2 linked regions of the Tamandua tetradactyla genome follow. The protein of the gene in region 1 interacts with the protein of each later gene in a pairwise test. Links are inferred from orthologs where the notes say so. Each region holds a gene or a part of one and is shown in the gene's direction. Other genes may lie near its edges.

Evidence for each region.
Region 2: the proteins of SDCBP2 (region 1) and ZCCHC17 interact in binary tests that used the Homo sapiens proteins (3 or more experiments, as listed by UniProt). The two-hybrid records come from large-scale screens. The link is inferred for Tamandua tetradactyla from reciprocal best matches to the Homo sapiens genes SDCBP2 and ZCCHC17.

The regions. Positions count from the first base shown.
Region 1 is NC_135327.1:23,222,410-23,230,162, reverse strand, and holds the start of SDCBP2 (syntenin-2), read left to right. Parts: upstream 1-4,746; 5' UTR 4,747-4,858; coding exon 4,859-4,869; intron 4,870-6,115; exon of another isoform or gene 6,116-6,248; intron 6,249-7,753.
Region 2 is NC_135328.1:194,559,918-194,568,007, reverse strand, and holds the start of ZCCHC17 (zinc finger CCHC domain-containing protein 17), read left to right. Parts: upstream 1-5,053; 5' UTR 5,054-5,134; intron 5,135-8,090. Other genes in the region: SNRNP40 (U5 small nuclear ribonucleoprotein 40 kDa protein), read right to left, coding at 806-899, 2,332-2,461, 4,675-4,818.

The DNA.
Region 1 (7,753 bases):
TACCACATTTTGTTTATCCATTCATCAGCTGATGGACATTTGGATTATTTCCACCTTTTGGCAAGCGCAAAGAGTGCTACTTCTAACACTGGTGTGCCAATGAAAGCAAAAGATATGCTTTCAGATCTTCTGGGGTATGGCCATTTTTAAGACCCCGATATGCATCAAACCAACCTCCCGTTAACTGTCTTCCCTGTGCTTAGCAGGACTGAGTGTTCAATCCAAATTCATGGAAAGATTAAGAAGTCCTGGCACCTATCTATCTCAGCAGCAGCTGTGTGCCTCCCTGACCCCACCTCCAAGTCTAGATTAAGGCCAAACCTCTTCTCTGGGCCTGGCAACCTGCCCCATTGACCCAGCCAAGGAGCCTTACCTGGGCCTCCTTCCCATTTCAAAGTGAGTCAGTGATCGGGGGCGGGCACCATTCTGCCCAGGGCAGGCAGCTGACCAACAGGAATCCAGCTGGGACAACAAGGTCACCAGCTCCCAGGGAGGGAAACAGACTCTCTCAGCAGTGGCTAGAGGACTGTGGCAGCACTTCGCTTGCAGGTAAGAGCTGACCCTGACCCCATATTGGCTTGGACTGCTTTCCCCCAGGTCTCCATCCTTAACTATCCCTTCCCTTTAGGGATTTCCCAAGCAGTTTCCTTTTAAGGTACTCTTGTCAGGGAGGGAAGGGTGAACTGGGTGTCTGCTTTCGACCCCAGCCCTGGGCCAGGTTGGAGGGCTGAGTGATCATCTTTATCCACACATCGCCCAGATATCTGGAGGGCCCACAGTGCTCAAGGAGGTGGAAACTGCATTTTGCTCCTTGAAGTGGGCCCCCTGAAGGCCAGGCCCAGCTAAAACCAGAGACTGCAGCCAGGCAAAGAGCTTATTTCTACAAGAACCAAGGGCCCAGGTCTCTGGTTTCTGGTTCCTTCTCTGCGTGAAGCTATTTCTATCAACAGCCTTCCTGTTACAGCAAGGAAAAACCTGTTGGAGAACTGGATTAGTGGCTTTACCTCTCTAAGAACTAGTTTCCTCATTGGAGACTAGAAATACCCAGTCCTGGGAACAGAATGTGATAATGGATGTAAAGGGCCACTGTACGCCCTCCACACAGCAGGGTCTCAGAAAACTGCTTAAAGGGAGCCTGCTAGGTGTAGGCAAGTACGGACTGCTTTACATACACCGGCCCAAGCCAGTAACGGCATTGCCACTGCTTCTTACCAGGGCTCCCTGCGTCCACCCTTGCTCCTCTAGTCTAGTCTCAACATGTCAGCCAGAGCCAGTTAAAATAATTGTCAGGCAGTCATAGTGACAGGTTACAGCACTGTTGTAAAACAGAAGATAACAAGTAAAGCGGTACAGATTAGCTACCCTAACATTTATCATTAATACATTGTAGTTAGAAGGTATGATCTACAGGGAAACAGAGGCCTGGCCTAAGGACACGAGAGGCGTCATAAGGGGAAATGGGCTAACTAGTGATGACAGCAGTTGTACAGTTATAATCCCCCCTTATTCTTGTTCATTTCTCTACTTATTTCTGTAATAAAAAACTAATCCTACATATAATTAATGAATAAGAACTACCCCCTGGACTTGGGTTTTCTTTTTTAATGTTTATTTGTTATTCTTATTTTTGAAGTAATGAAAATGTTCTAAAATTGATTGTGATGATGACTGCTCAACTGGGTGATGATATTGTGAGACACTGATTCCATACTTTGGATGGATTATATGGTGTGTAAATATATCTTGATAAAATTTTCAGTTGCAGGAAAAAAAAAAAAGAGAGCCCATGTCACTCCTCTGCTCAAAATTCTCCAGTGGCTCCCATCGCACTAGAGTAAATGCCAATATCCTCACCACAGCCTGCAAAGCCCCACAGAATCTAGTCCTCCCACTATTCTCAGGCCTGCCTCCCAACTGCCTCCCCTTCTGGTCTACTCACTTCAGTCCCACCAATCAGCTGTTCTCCAAACATAATAGGCACGCAGGGCCTTTGCATGGCTGTGCCCTCACATGGAATATTCTTTCCCTTGATACCTGTGGCACTTCATCTCCTTATGGCCATTACTCAAATGTCCCCTCATCCCCACTGGTCCTCTGACACTCTCCTCACTACTCTCCATCCTGCCTTATCTTTCTCTCCAGCATGTACCACCACCTTACAGTGTGTTTTCTCTTACTAATATGTACACTCTTCACGGAGAACAATTTTTCTTTTGTTCACTGCTGTATTGCTGGGACCTAGCACGGTAGTGAGACTTAGGTGCTCAGTAATGTTTGTTGAATCAAGGAACCACAGCTGACGTTTACTGAGTGCTTATTTTGGGCTACTGTGCTAAATACTTGCCCTACATACCTTATCTCTTTTACAAAAATTTTTTAATCTCCACCATAAGTTTGTGATGCAATATTGTTATCCCACATTACAAAGGAAGAAATGAAACTCAAAAGGGTCTTGCCCTCACAAGCAGGAGGCAATGTCAGTTTCAACCTAGTCCTGCCGGTCTCCAAAGTCCTTGTTCCTGCCCCATCTCCTCTGTCCCTGGGTTTGGGGGCATTTGCATTCCTTGAACTACAGCTTTTTTCCCAGGATACAGCACAGCCCTGATGGAGAAAAGGCCTAGCAACATGCTGGTGGCCTAGCAACAGCCTCTTCCTTTCCAATTCAACATATCCCTGGGCTTATTTGGCCTTCCAGGAGCTATTCTTCTGACACTCTAACCCACGCTTCCCTCCCACACACCTTCTAATGAAGAATGGATGAGTTGTCCACAGGAACAAGTGGGAGTCCCAAACCTTCATGGAACAAAATGTTCCAAAGAGTACTCTGATTTCAAATACAAAGATGGAGGCTGAAGGCCCCCTTTTAGCCCAGCTGATCTCTCAGGATCTGATTGCTATTTTGCTGTAAATGTTATCACTTATATAAAAAAGTACAGAAGCTCAGGTATGAACATTCTGGAAAATTCTGTAGGAGAGGAAAATTCCTTTGGGGGTGAAGGGTTGTACAGATTCTTTTCCTTTCAGAAGCACCAACTGCAGAAAGTCCCAGCACAGAACTGAGGAAGCTCTCTCAGTCAGACGGTAGGGGCCAATGTTTCAACCTACCTCATGAGAGCAGCATTTTCTCCTCCTCCCAGCCCTGGGGTTTTTCTTCAAAGACTTTCTACTTATTGACTGAAAACAACGGGGAAATGGGAAAAAAAAAAGACCGTGTCTTTAGGCTTTTGCTTTCCCACTCCTTAACCGGATGCCCAGGCACTGGGGATTCAGAAATGAGTGAGACATTCCCTGACCAGTGATGGAGTCTGGCAAACATATAACACAGAGGAAACCCAACCAAAGGAAATACAAAAGGCACTGCTCACAGTCAGTGCTTAATGTTTGTGGAATGTGTGATGAATGGGTGAACAGATGACACGCTGTGATCTAGAGACAGGAGGCGTGTCTACTTCTGCGGATGGGTGTTGGGGGCATTGGGAAAGGCAGCGAACTGAAGAAGAGTACAAGGGGGAGGGTGAAGGCACAAATGGCATTCAAGACAGAGGAAAGAGCACCTGGAAAAGCATCAAGACATGAAAGAGCAGGGTGAGCAAGCATTGTGGAATGAATGAAATGCAGGGTATGAGTGTAGAAGAATGAGGAATTGAGACTGGTGACATTACCAGAAGTCAGGTCAAGGAGCTTTGAAAGTCAAATTAACGTTAGAGATTTATTCTGAGGGCAAGAGCTGGAAATGGCTTCAAGAGGGAAAGGCAGGACGTGAGGATAATTTCCAGATTTCTGGCCCAGCCCAGGGGATGGGGTTAGTGGAGCCACCGTGGAATCCAGAGGGGAAGAAAAATGAGTTCAGTCTAGATGACCTGGGGGAGGTGGTTTCCAGGAGACAGCTGGACTCTTCAACCTGGGTCTCCCTATCCCTGTACAAGCACCCTCCACTCCCACCTATGGGAATCCTCCATCCTTCACTGTTTGGCCAGAGCCACCTGCCTTCTGCAGGAGACCTCTTGGTAGTCCTAGCCTTTCTCCGTACCCCCCTGACTCAGTGCCTACGTCCTTTATAATGGGCAGCGAGCCCGATTTCGCTGTGGTCTGCCCGGCAGCAGGGGTCCAATTAGTCACTTCTGGGTTGGTTCCCAGAGTGAATTTGCGTGGAGTAGAACAAGGCAACTTCAGTTCAACAATCAGTCAAGAGTCAAAGCCAGATAAGAAAAAGGTGGGGAAAAGGGTGGGTGGGACGGTGACGTAGGGGGCGAGAGGGATTCCTTTTCAGAAAAAGCAACAAGCAGAGGAGAGCGCAGGCGTCGACTCAGCCCTCCTCCCCTCCCCTAGCTGCCTTTGTACAGAATCTAATCTGTCAGAAGGGGGCGGATCAACCGCGCCCTCCTTCCTTCAGGAACCATAAAATGGCCGTAGGGGGCCAAGGCCGTGGGGAGACGAAGTGAAACCTGGGCCTTTAAGGCACTATTTGACCTGTGTCGCCTGCCATCCCGCAAAGAGGGACCTCAGAGCGCGTCCGAGCCTGCGTTACCCTACTGCTTTACCTGATCCCTTCTGGTAGATGCCGCCGCTGGCCACGGACGCCTGGAGAAAGAGTGAGGCCGGGTGGGCGGTTGTAACACACCCGGCCGAGAAAACACACCGCGAAGCGCCCGCCACTCTCTGCTCCGCCGCCGCGGGGCACCCTGGGAGCCGCCCGCCGCGGCGCATGCGCCCTAGATGCGCTGCTCTCGCGCGAGGTCTGGAGAGATCTCAGCGCAGGCGGCGTAGCCATGGTGCCGGGAGGTGCTACTTGCAGCCGGCTCCCTCGGGTTCCCGGGTGTTAGAGCGGCGAAGGGGTCGGTATGGGGCTCACTTGGGGATGGCTGAGCGGTATGACAGATGGAGAAACCGAGGCCGGGGGTGGAGGACAGGCCTTCGGAATTTCTGGGCTCTCACCGGCGCTCTAGCGGTGTGGAGTTTGTGGCTGGTTGTTGGGTCGCAAAGCGGGCGATAGTGGCACGGGGCGGGGTGGCCCGAAGATAGCGGCAGAGGCGAGGGTTCACCCTGGAGAGAAAGTCAGTGCAATATCCTGTCTTTAGTATAAAGGAGAAAATAAACTAATTTGCAGCGGAAGACAATATTTCTCTGTGTAAAGGCTCAGGCAGGGTTACTTCAAAAGATGCTTGTACTTACAATGAGGAAGTGTGGTCTTAATATAAGACAGCGTTCACGTAAAAATTGTCAACGTTTCATATTTGGAATTTTGAATCAAATACTAAGTGTATTTGTACCAAGCGGGAATCACTGTGTAAGCTATGAATACAGACATGGGCCGGTGGACCCAACTGGTGAGCAGGGTGAACAGGCATTTTCCAGAAAGGTGAACAAGGCCAAGTAGTACTTCCCTTAACTAACGTGTTATGTGCATTCCTGAGTAATACAGTATATATTAAAACTGGGAAATAGTTTACTGTATTTATATATAAACAGGTGTTAGGTCTTTTTGCTGACATGAAGCTCTTGCAGGACCTTTGAAAGTTGTGCAGGACAGAGGACAATTTGTTGTGGGGAACTGTGCTGAGCATTGCAAAAGGCCCAGATTCCTGCTCGTGGATGCCAGCAGTGTTTCGCCTGTCTTGTGACACCTCAGAACAGAGCTCTTCCCTGGATAATCACTGATTTGTTCAATCAAATGATAATTTTTGCCAGCAGACTGTGTCTTGGTGGAGAAGTATAGTGTGGTGAACAGGACACAGTCCTTGTCCTTGAGAAGCATATGCAGATGTTAGTGATACAGTACAACAAGTAGCTTGACAATAAGGGCAGTCAGGACAGGGTTGGAACACGCAAGAGGACCCAGCCAACTGGCAGGGTGGTGAAGGGCCTGGGAAAGCTAGACAAAGAAGTAGTGTTTGAACTGAGCATCACACAGAGAAGGCCGGTGTGTCAAGCAAAGGGACCATTAAGACTATGACACGTCCAGATGGCCTGGCACCCAGTAGGCATCCAGTAGAGGTTTTGAATGATTAGATGAGCGATGATTGAATGCGAACATGGGATAGTCGTTGGCAGGAAGCCATTTCCCACTGTATTGTGAACTGCTAAAAGGGAAATACCTGCTTCCTGACTCCCCCAGAGGCCAGCACCAAGTCGGGACCCAGAGAAGGTGGTGGCAGCAAATGGATCCAGACAAAGAAACAGAGCTGTGTATCCCTAGCCTGGGACTGATGTCCGGGAAGTGGGTCTCTACTTCTCTGCTCTGGTAGAAGGCAAGTACTAAAAATACAGCTGCAGTGCTGTTTAAATGTTAGAAAAAGCAGGGCAGGGGTGGCCTCTTATTTCCACATCTGTCATTCATCCATGATCTGGAGGCAGAGCATGTTGTCAGCAAATGGTAACTTCTGAGGACTGTGCTAAGATAAAGAGCTCTCAGAGTGGGTGCACAGTGGAGAAGGCCACAGGCTGAGGGTCCTTTCCCCCAGAAATCTCTCCCTAGAATAATCCCTGTCCTCCTGGGATGGTGGTGATTTCTGCCTCAGCAGCCAAGCTAGAGCAAGGATCTGGAACTGGCTGCCTCCAGGAGCCAAGCGGGCCATGCAAATCAGCAAAGGGCCAGGGGGCTATTTGGGGCAGCCCCTTCTGAAAAGCAGGCTGCTGCTCACCCTTACTGGGTATTGCCTTGCACAACTCCTGCTCTTGCGTGACCAAATATTTTGATTGTACAGGCTAGAAATGAAGATTTGTGTATGTACAGATTTTTTAGTATTGGCACTAATTCAGATATATATTTTGGCAAGAACCAGATGAAACACATTTGTAATCTTTGGTCTGTGTGTCCATACCAGGGAGTTGGGTGTTCGTAGGACATCACAGTTTTACTTTACAAGGAAAAGAGTGGAAGTTCAGGCAGAATGTAATGCTTCTGGCAATATTGAGATAATTTTCATGCTAGGCACTAGAGGTTCCACAGCTAATGAGAAAACCCAGTTCCTGTCGTTTTGGGATTTCCAACCCAAAGTAGATGGACGGAGAAGTAAAGAGACAAATGTATCATAGACTAATCAATAAGAGTAAAGACTTGCTGGGGAAGTACAGAGTAGTTTTAGGGGAAGGTGGGCATCAGTGCAGGCTTCCTGCAGGAAGGGTCCTCTGGGTTAGGGCTTGGGAATTATTGAAGTTATCCAGGGCCGGAGGTGGTATTCCAGGTAGAGGAAGCAGCATCTGCAAAGGCCTAGAGACATGAGAGAATTAGGTGCATCAAGGATCTGAAAGTAGCACATTGTGGCTGGAGCTGAATGTAGGGTTTGGGAGAAGGTCATGTAACAAGAAGTGAGGCTGGAGAGGCACGAGGGGGTTGCAAACAAACATTTGTTGGGACCAGACAGGTAGTGCCAGTGGGTAAAGCAGACTGGGTGTAAGAGACAACAGAGATTGGTGGGGACTGGGGCACCTGGAATCTGCGGTTACTCAGCTACTGTCCAGGGTTGCCAGAGCTTCCTACAAAAAACAAACATGCAAACATTGTATACATGGTGTACAATCAGTGGATCACAGTATCATCATATAGTTGTGTATTCATCACCATGATCATTTTTTGAACATTTGCATCTCTCCAGCAAAAGAAATAAGAAAGAAAATACTCACACATGCCATACCCCTTACTCTTCCCTCTCATTGACCACTAGTAGTTCAATCTACTAAATTTATTTTAACCTTTGTCCCCCTTTTATTTGTTTATTTTTATCCATAGTCTTTACTCATTGCAGTAGGAAAT
Region 2 (8,090 bases), on another chromosome or scaffold:
ATGCTGCCCTCACATCTGTTTAACTTCTACCCTCTCCCCAAAATCCAAAGCTTTTATTCTCTCTTTAAGACTTTTCCTAATAATGCTTTCTTTTTAATAGGAAACATGTATGCCAGGTTCTATACCAGATGATTCAGGGCATACTAATATTCTCCAGGCCAGAGATGTAAATAAATGAATGTTTAATAAAATACTCTATGACAGGATTAATTAACTGTCTATAACCACATTTTTATATTATCTATAGGTATTCTATAATTATACAGTCATTAAAATAATGCTGTGAAAACAGAGATGTTAGGTGAATAAAGTTAAGGGAAAAAAACAGCAGATAAAATTGTATATAGTGCTCTAACAAATATTTAAAAACCAAACTATTTTGGGTAGAAAAACGGCTTGAGGGAAATGTATCATAGTAATAAATGATTATCTTTGGAGTGGTAGGAATGTAGGTTTCTTTCTGCTTCTTTGTTTTTTTTCAAAATATTTTATATAAACATTTTCATTTATATTTAAATATATTACTTTTACATTGGAAAGAATTTCTGCATATGAAAACTATACTTTGCTTTATGTTTTAAAAAGAAAAAGATTTGTCTGGGCTGTTGATATGTTAGATGAGAGAAATGATAGAGTTAACAGTTGTACACATGTAACAATAAACACCTTACTTGGGGTGACAGTGACTGGGATAAGGTAGTCACCCAAAATCTAGGAGAGAACAAACTCAAGGGTGAAAGGTAAAACGATGCTAAGAATAATTAGTATGAAAAGCAGTTGCCATTTCATTATGTAGAATACTCACCTGCCATCTGTGTTATAATGCAGTTCCATCACTGCTCCACTGTGTCCCTTCAGTGTGGCATAATTATCACAGTCACCATAGACATTCCACAATACTGTTGGGGACACAGGGGTCTATAAGAATTACTAGGCAAAAGAAAATCCATTACTGAACATGAAAAGATTACTTATGAATTCACCAAAATAAAAGGCCTCAAATTGTATTTCCTTGGGACACTACTGGTTCTAGCAGCTAGACCAATTTTCCAGACCATAACATAAAAATAATGGCAATATTTTCATAATACACAAAGTAAAAAAGTTAATGGATATAATTTTTAAATCTCAGTTTTACCCTGTAATTTTTTTTTTAAGATGCATTCACTCTATGAGAACAAGTAGACTGCAAAATGATGGCACTTCTGGGAAATCTGGGAAGCCACAACTGACTTCAAGGTCACAGAGCAATGGCTTTATACTAAATCTACTCATTCCGCATATACTGAACACCTACTACATGGCAGGCATGGTGGCTAGAGTAAAGGAGATAGACACAGCTCCTTTTCTCAGGGAGCTTGGTCTAGCATGGACAGAAGTTTTGATAAGTGTCATTAAGGAGCACCTATATACATAATAAGGTACACAATAGAAATTTTTTTGCTGATAAAACTACTACATATTTTTTTTTTTTGAAAAAAACATATGGGCAGGCACCGGGAATCAAACTCGGGTTTCTGGCATGGCAGGTAAGAACTCTGCCCACTGAGCCACTGTGGCCCGCCCTACAAATTTTTTTTTTAATGAAATTAAATAAAAAATTTAAGGATGCTGTGCACAGAATCTCATGCCTTCCAGTTGCTTGGCCATCAATAAGTTTAAAGATGACAGAACTGGAGTATCTAAATCAAAATGGGCAGTGAAAACAGATAACATCCACCCTGATGCATAGTTACTAAAAGAGCCAAGGGACTAATTTCATTTCATAATGGGGTAAATACAGAGAAGAAAAAAATGCTCGATTATCTTCTCTATGCTTTTCACATGACCCCTCAAAGTGATTTATTTCTACTTATTCTTCCAAAATGGGTATTCCTGACTGGTAGTTAAGAATCTGGCAATAGATCTTAATAATATCTAAGGCAGTTGCTATTCTAGAATCCCCTTTCCTTCCTATTTGCTAGGACTGTGAGTATGGATCCCCAGGAGGGCCTCACAACTTTGGGAAAAGAACTTTTCTCTGTCCTCATTACAAAAAGTTGGAGATCTCGTCTTGCTAAATCAGCTCAACACTTGCCTATATGAGGAAGGTATTCCCAAACCAGAACTTACTTTCCAATTAGTAATATAATCTCTTCTGTATTTACCACACATACCCCAAGTTCTATACCCAAGATCATTTAGAATTCTCACAACCTCACTTTAGTTTGTTAGCAATGTAGTTTGTCATGTTTCCTCATTTTCAGAGATAATCAATCTACACTGATCACAGATAAAAAATAATCACTACATGGTAGAGTGCAATTACATCAGATTCAAAAACTGTCTTACATATCAGTCGATCAAATCCTGCAGATGCTAAAGTGGATCCATTGGGGTGAAACTTGCAACAATACACTTCCCCTTCATGTCCGGAGAGCAGCATGATTGGGGCTTGAAGAGAGGAACACCTTGGAGGCCCCTAAACAAAAGACAGAAACACAGAGTACTCACTGTATATAAGCAAAGGAGGCTGAAAAATTTGAGGGTGGTGGCGGGGAGTAGGAAGAGAGAGAGAGGGAGAAGAGAAAACGATGGATGGAATGGATTTCAGCTCTTTTCACATCATGCATGCCTCTTTTTTTTTTTTTTTGCTGCAAAAAACTTTTTTATACTTGGTTCATGGTTTGTCATGTCTCAATACGATACTCTTCTGTTGAACATTCCAATGATCACCTGCTACATTAATTCTTTCTCTCCCTCCCTCTGCTGCTGTCCCATAGCCAACATTTCTATTATTCAAACATTAAACTTATTTCTGTTGCAGGATCTTTGCATTTGTAGTTTCCCCTGACTCTTCCCCACCTGTATTCCAATCACCTACTGTACTTCATACAGTACATACCACTTTATATATTAATATAAGGTGATTCCTTATATATATATTCCATACACACACACACACACACACACACACACACACACACACACACATCCATATTCCTTAATCACCATCTGAAATTACCTTTCTCATATATTTGTTTATATATTTCGTCTGCTTCTCACACTAGAACAGTAGCTCCATGACTGCAGGGACTTTGCCTGTGTCATTCAACAATCTTTTCCCAATGTCTGGTGCATTTAATGAGTGAACGACAGAACTGAGCTTAACAACAACCCTGCAGGGTAGGGACTCCTGCAGAAAGTAGGATTTGATTATGGCCCTGGACACAAAGCCTAGGCTTGAGCAATTCACTTTCTAAACCTGGGCTGATGCTCTAATTTGTTGGTAGGAAGAACAGGCACACTAACAATAATCTCCACATCTCTTCAGTGGTTTCCAGCTTATTTATTCATTAAAAAAAATATGTGCCCAGGAACTGCAAAAACATCTGTGAATAAAATCAATAGAGTTTACATTCTGGTGGAATGGGAAAGAGAAAAGTTTAAAATATATATATATTACATACAATGGTATGTACAATAGGGAAAAACAGGAGGAATGTGGGATAGAGAGTATGGGATATTGCAATTTAAAATACTGTGGTCGGGAAAGAACTCACGGAAAAAGTGATATTTACACAAAACTGAAGAGCTGAGAGTGTAAACCATGCAAGCATTTAGAAGAACATGCTGACAAAGGGATGAGCAAATGCAAAGGCACTGAGGCAGGAGCATAGAGACCAGAGCAAGGAAAGAAGATTGATGTATCAGAGAGGTAGAGGGAAAAGTGGGCAAAAGATTGTGAAGTTTTTGGTTTTTACTCTGAGTGAAATGGAAAGCTGGACTGAGAACAGATTGTAGAAAGCAGGAGCTGAAACAGTCAAGACTGATTAGGACCATACTGCAAAATCTCAGATGAGACAAATAATAGCTTAGACCAAGAGGAAGCAATAGAGATGATAGAAATAGCAATTCTGGCAGGATTCGCTGATGGGTTGGTTGAGGGTTTGAAAAAAAAAAAAAAGAGAGTACATATATTCTTTCATCTGATTCTCACAGCAGCAGAGGAGAAGTGGCCACTACTTCTTCACGTTACAAGAGCAGTTAAGAGCATGGATTGTGGAGTCAGACTGCCTGGGTTCAAGATCTATTTCCATCACTTTATTTGATAAGAGTTTGTTGTTCCATTTGCAAAATGGGATAATAGTTCCTAACTCCTAGGCTGTTACCAAGATGAATGGATATCACATACACAAGGCACTCAGCACAAGGGCTCCATGAATACTAACTGTACTATCCAGTTCATAATATTAGTACAGAGAAATAAAGGGAAGCTGAAAGAGGGAAACCAACTTGCCCGGTCCCTAAGGGAGCCAATAACATTCATTTCATCGCATTCTCCCTTCACTCACTCACGCATTTATTCACTCTACAAATTTCTACCAAATGTTTATTCTATCCCGGATCCCTGGAAAACTTTGGAAGCCTAAGCCGCGGCCCTGAGGCCAGCTATGAGCCTATGGCTCTTCATTCCAATTCTACTGCCACCTCCAGGGCGGTCGAGATGCTGAAAAAGGGCATCAAACGCGGGAACACGTATCGAGCATCTGTAGGGTATAGGGCGCTTTTAAAGAGTTTAACTCCAGGTCAATATTCTCGTTCCTCTCCCGCAATGCGGCATCACTCGGTGTGGCGCTCTGAGGAGAGAGCAAGAGAAGCCGAGCAGCGAAGGCCACCTGTTCCTTTTCTTACCGCTTGCAGCAAAGCTCCTGGCGTCGTCTGCTGCTGCCCGGTTCCGGGGCCCGACCCCGCCGCTCCCAAAAGCAACTCATGCCGCTGCCGCTTGACTGGGACAAGTGGTAACTCAGGGCCCTTGCGCTTCTGCTGTTCTATCATGGCGGCAGCCGCTCCTCTCAGTGCCAGTAGGGACCGAGGCGGCACGCTTCCACACAGCGCGATTGGCTCGAACTTAGCCTTTCCTTTAGAACTTCCGGCTTGGAGAACCCAATCATCTCCCAATAGGCTGCGTCGCTTTCGGGATAGTCTCTTGTTATTGGGCAGCTCTTCCTAACATCACGAATGCCCGACTTCAGGGTTGGCGGATGAACCTGGAGTCCCGCCTACGCGCGCTGTGTCTTGTGGGTATAAACGCGCCGACTGGGTTCGGCTTTTCGCGCAATGGCGTGGCTGGCTGTCTTCTACTTGACGCCGAGTAAGTATAAGGAAGCTAGGGGGTGGCTACCCGAGTCTGGAGGCAGCGTTTTGGTTGTGGGGTTTGAGCATGGCCCTTCTCAGTTGAGGGTCCTGATTTCTATCCCTGGTAAGTAGTAGCATGGGCTCTCCTTCCTGGCGGGAGCCGAGGTTTGGGCTGTCTGGCGGCAGGACCCAGACCCTGTAGCTGCCGGGTGGGGTGTTGGAGGGACCTCGACGACTGACTTGGATAATCGCCCACTTGTGTCCAGTCATGTGTGGGGCGCTCCCAGGAAGATAAGGCCTGTCTCCTAGACTCCCTGTCTGAGGAGGTGAGGCTTGTTTCTGCAACTGACTGTACAGTCTTTCATTAGAGTCTCCCCTATGCCGCTGAGAGAGACAGATGAAGAAAATATCCGCCTTCTGCTTCTCGAGAGCGCAGTTATATTGAGAAGCTTGAGACTCACATCTGTGAACTAGGTCCTCTTCTCAATCATTCAACTAATATTTATTGTGCGTTTGGGAGACGTTGTGAATCAAATAGTCCCTGACGTCAGGGAGATTGAGTCTGGTGGAGAAAACAGATGTTAAACAATCTAACATCTCTTTAGTTAATGTAAAATAAGTGCTACCTCGGACAGCTATCTGACGCTTTGAGTGCTTAAATATGCAGGAAGCCTTTTCTGAGAAAGAGATGCCTGAGCTGAATTCCAAATAATTAGGTGAAGAGAGGAAGCCACAGCATTACATGGGTGACTGACAAAAGGCACAAAGAGGCCAGTGTGACTGCTTCAAAGATAACGAGGGGAGAGTGGTACAAGATGAAATTGGAGGCGGTTAGAAGGTTAGGCCCTGCAGAGATCTGTAGCTTTTATCTTAAGATGAGATGGGAATCACTGAGGGTTGGTTTTTTGGGTGGGTGGGGGGGGCTGTATGTGTGGAAGGGGCGGTGGCTTGACCCCTTTGTCTCAGTGGTGTGAACAGATTGAAGGTGAGCCGTAGTGAATTCAGATAGACGACTTAGGTTCTGCAGTGGTCCTGGTGAGAGATAATTGGCAATGAGGACTGACATATCTTGGTGGACCTGTGGAGAATTGAACAGATTCTAGAGATATATAGGAGGTAAAATGGTTAGGACTGGTGATGGGTTGGATTCCTGAAACTTAAGAGAGAGGAAGCAAAGATAAGCCCTAGGTTTCTCATGCAGCTGAATACGTAGCAGTACCATTCAGTGAGGCATTAGAATATCTTGTAGTGTTCAATGGAACGCTAGAAAATGACTAGAAACTAGTTTGTTAGTTTTGTTCCTTGGGTTTTTTATGGAGGGATTCATTTGTGACATCTAGGAGGCAGTTGAACTTTGGAGCGCAGAAGCCATGCTTGTGTTGAACATAGTAGATTTGGGAGTAATCTAGGTGATAATTAAGTAGTATGTGTGGGTAAGATCACATGGGTCAGAGCCTTGGGAAGTTCCAACATTTAGTGGCCAAGAACAGGAGGATGAACCTACAAGAGAACGAGAGGAATATTCTTTTAGAAGTAAGGGAATGATCTGTGTCAGAATTTAAATAGCATGAGGATCAAAAAAAGTCTGTTGTCTTTATTATGAAGTTCTTGGTAACCTTGGCAAGAGTTATTTTGTGATGGAAGCCAGATATGAGACAAGGATCCAGGCAATCAATCTAGACATTATTTTAGAGAGGATGTGGTAGCTAAAGGGGATGAGGAGTTACCAAGGATCCAATTGAGAGGACAGAGTTGAATATTCAAGAGAGAAATTGGGTCACCAATAGCGTAAAATTTCTGAGAAGGTGGGAGGGGATGGGATCCAAAGTATAGGTGGAGAAAGCAGCCTTAGGAAGATGGATTCATTATCCATTTAACAGAAGGGAAGGAGGAAATGAAGGTATAGATAGAGATTGTATGTTTGGTACTGGTAAGATGAATTGTTTTCTCATGGCTTTTATTTTCTTTGTAAAGTGAGAGGTGGAATTTTATGCTTAGAGTGAGAGTAGGTTAGAGGTTTGAGTAGATTGAAGAAGATTTGAAAGTCATTGTAGAGTGTGGGAGAATGTGTTTACTAGAGAAATGTAGGATTACCAGGCAGAGTTAAGGACCCATTGGAGATTGGAGATTATACTTTTTTTTCCCCCAGCAACACTAGGCTGTTTAGTACAAGTTTGGCAAATATTGTGGATTTGGCTGGCTCAAAACACGTTCCTGCTTCTAGTGTGCCTTCTCTTACGGAAGAGGCTAGAAAGCGAAAAACTATTCCAATTCTTTCCTAAGAATTGAATTTGGAACTGGATTAATTGTGGAGAGAAGCTGAATGTGAGGCATCAGGTTTTTTTTTTTTAATTAAAAAAAAATTATAAGAAAGAAACTCAAACCTTCTTAACATATGCTCATTCCATTCTACATATTTAATCAGTAATTCACAATATCATCACATAGTTGTATATTCATCATCATGATCATTTCTTAGAACATTTGCATCAGTTCAGAAAAAGAAATAAAAAGACAACAAAAAAAGAAAATGAAAACAAAAAGAAATTATGCATACCATACCCCATACCCCTCCCTTTCATTGATCACTAGTATTTCAAACTGAATTTATTTTAACATTTGTTCCCCCTATTTATTTTTATTCCATATGTTCTACTTGTCTGTCGACAAGGTAGATAAAAGGAGCATCAGACACAAGGTTTTCACGATCACAGTCACATTGGGAAAGCTATATCATTATACAATCATCATCAAGAAACATGGCTACTGGAACACAGCTCTACATTTTCAGGCCATTCCCTCCAGCCTCTCCACTACATCTTGAATAACAAGGTGATATCTACTTAATGCATAAGAATAACCTCCAGGATAACCCCTCCACTGTGTTTGGAATCTCTCAGCCATTGACACTTTGTCTCATTTCACTCTTCCCCTTTTGGTCCAGAGATTTTCTCAATCCCTTAATGCTGGGT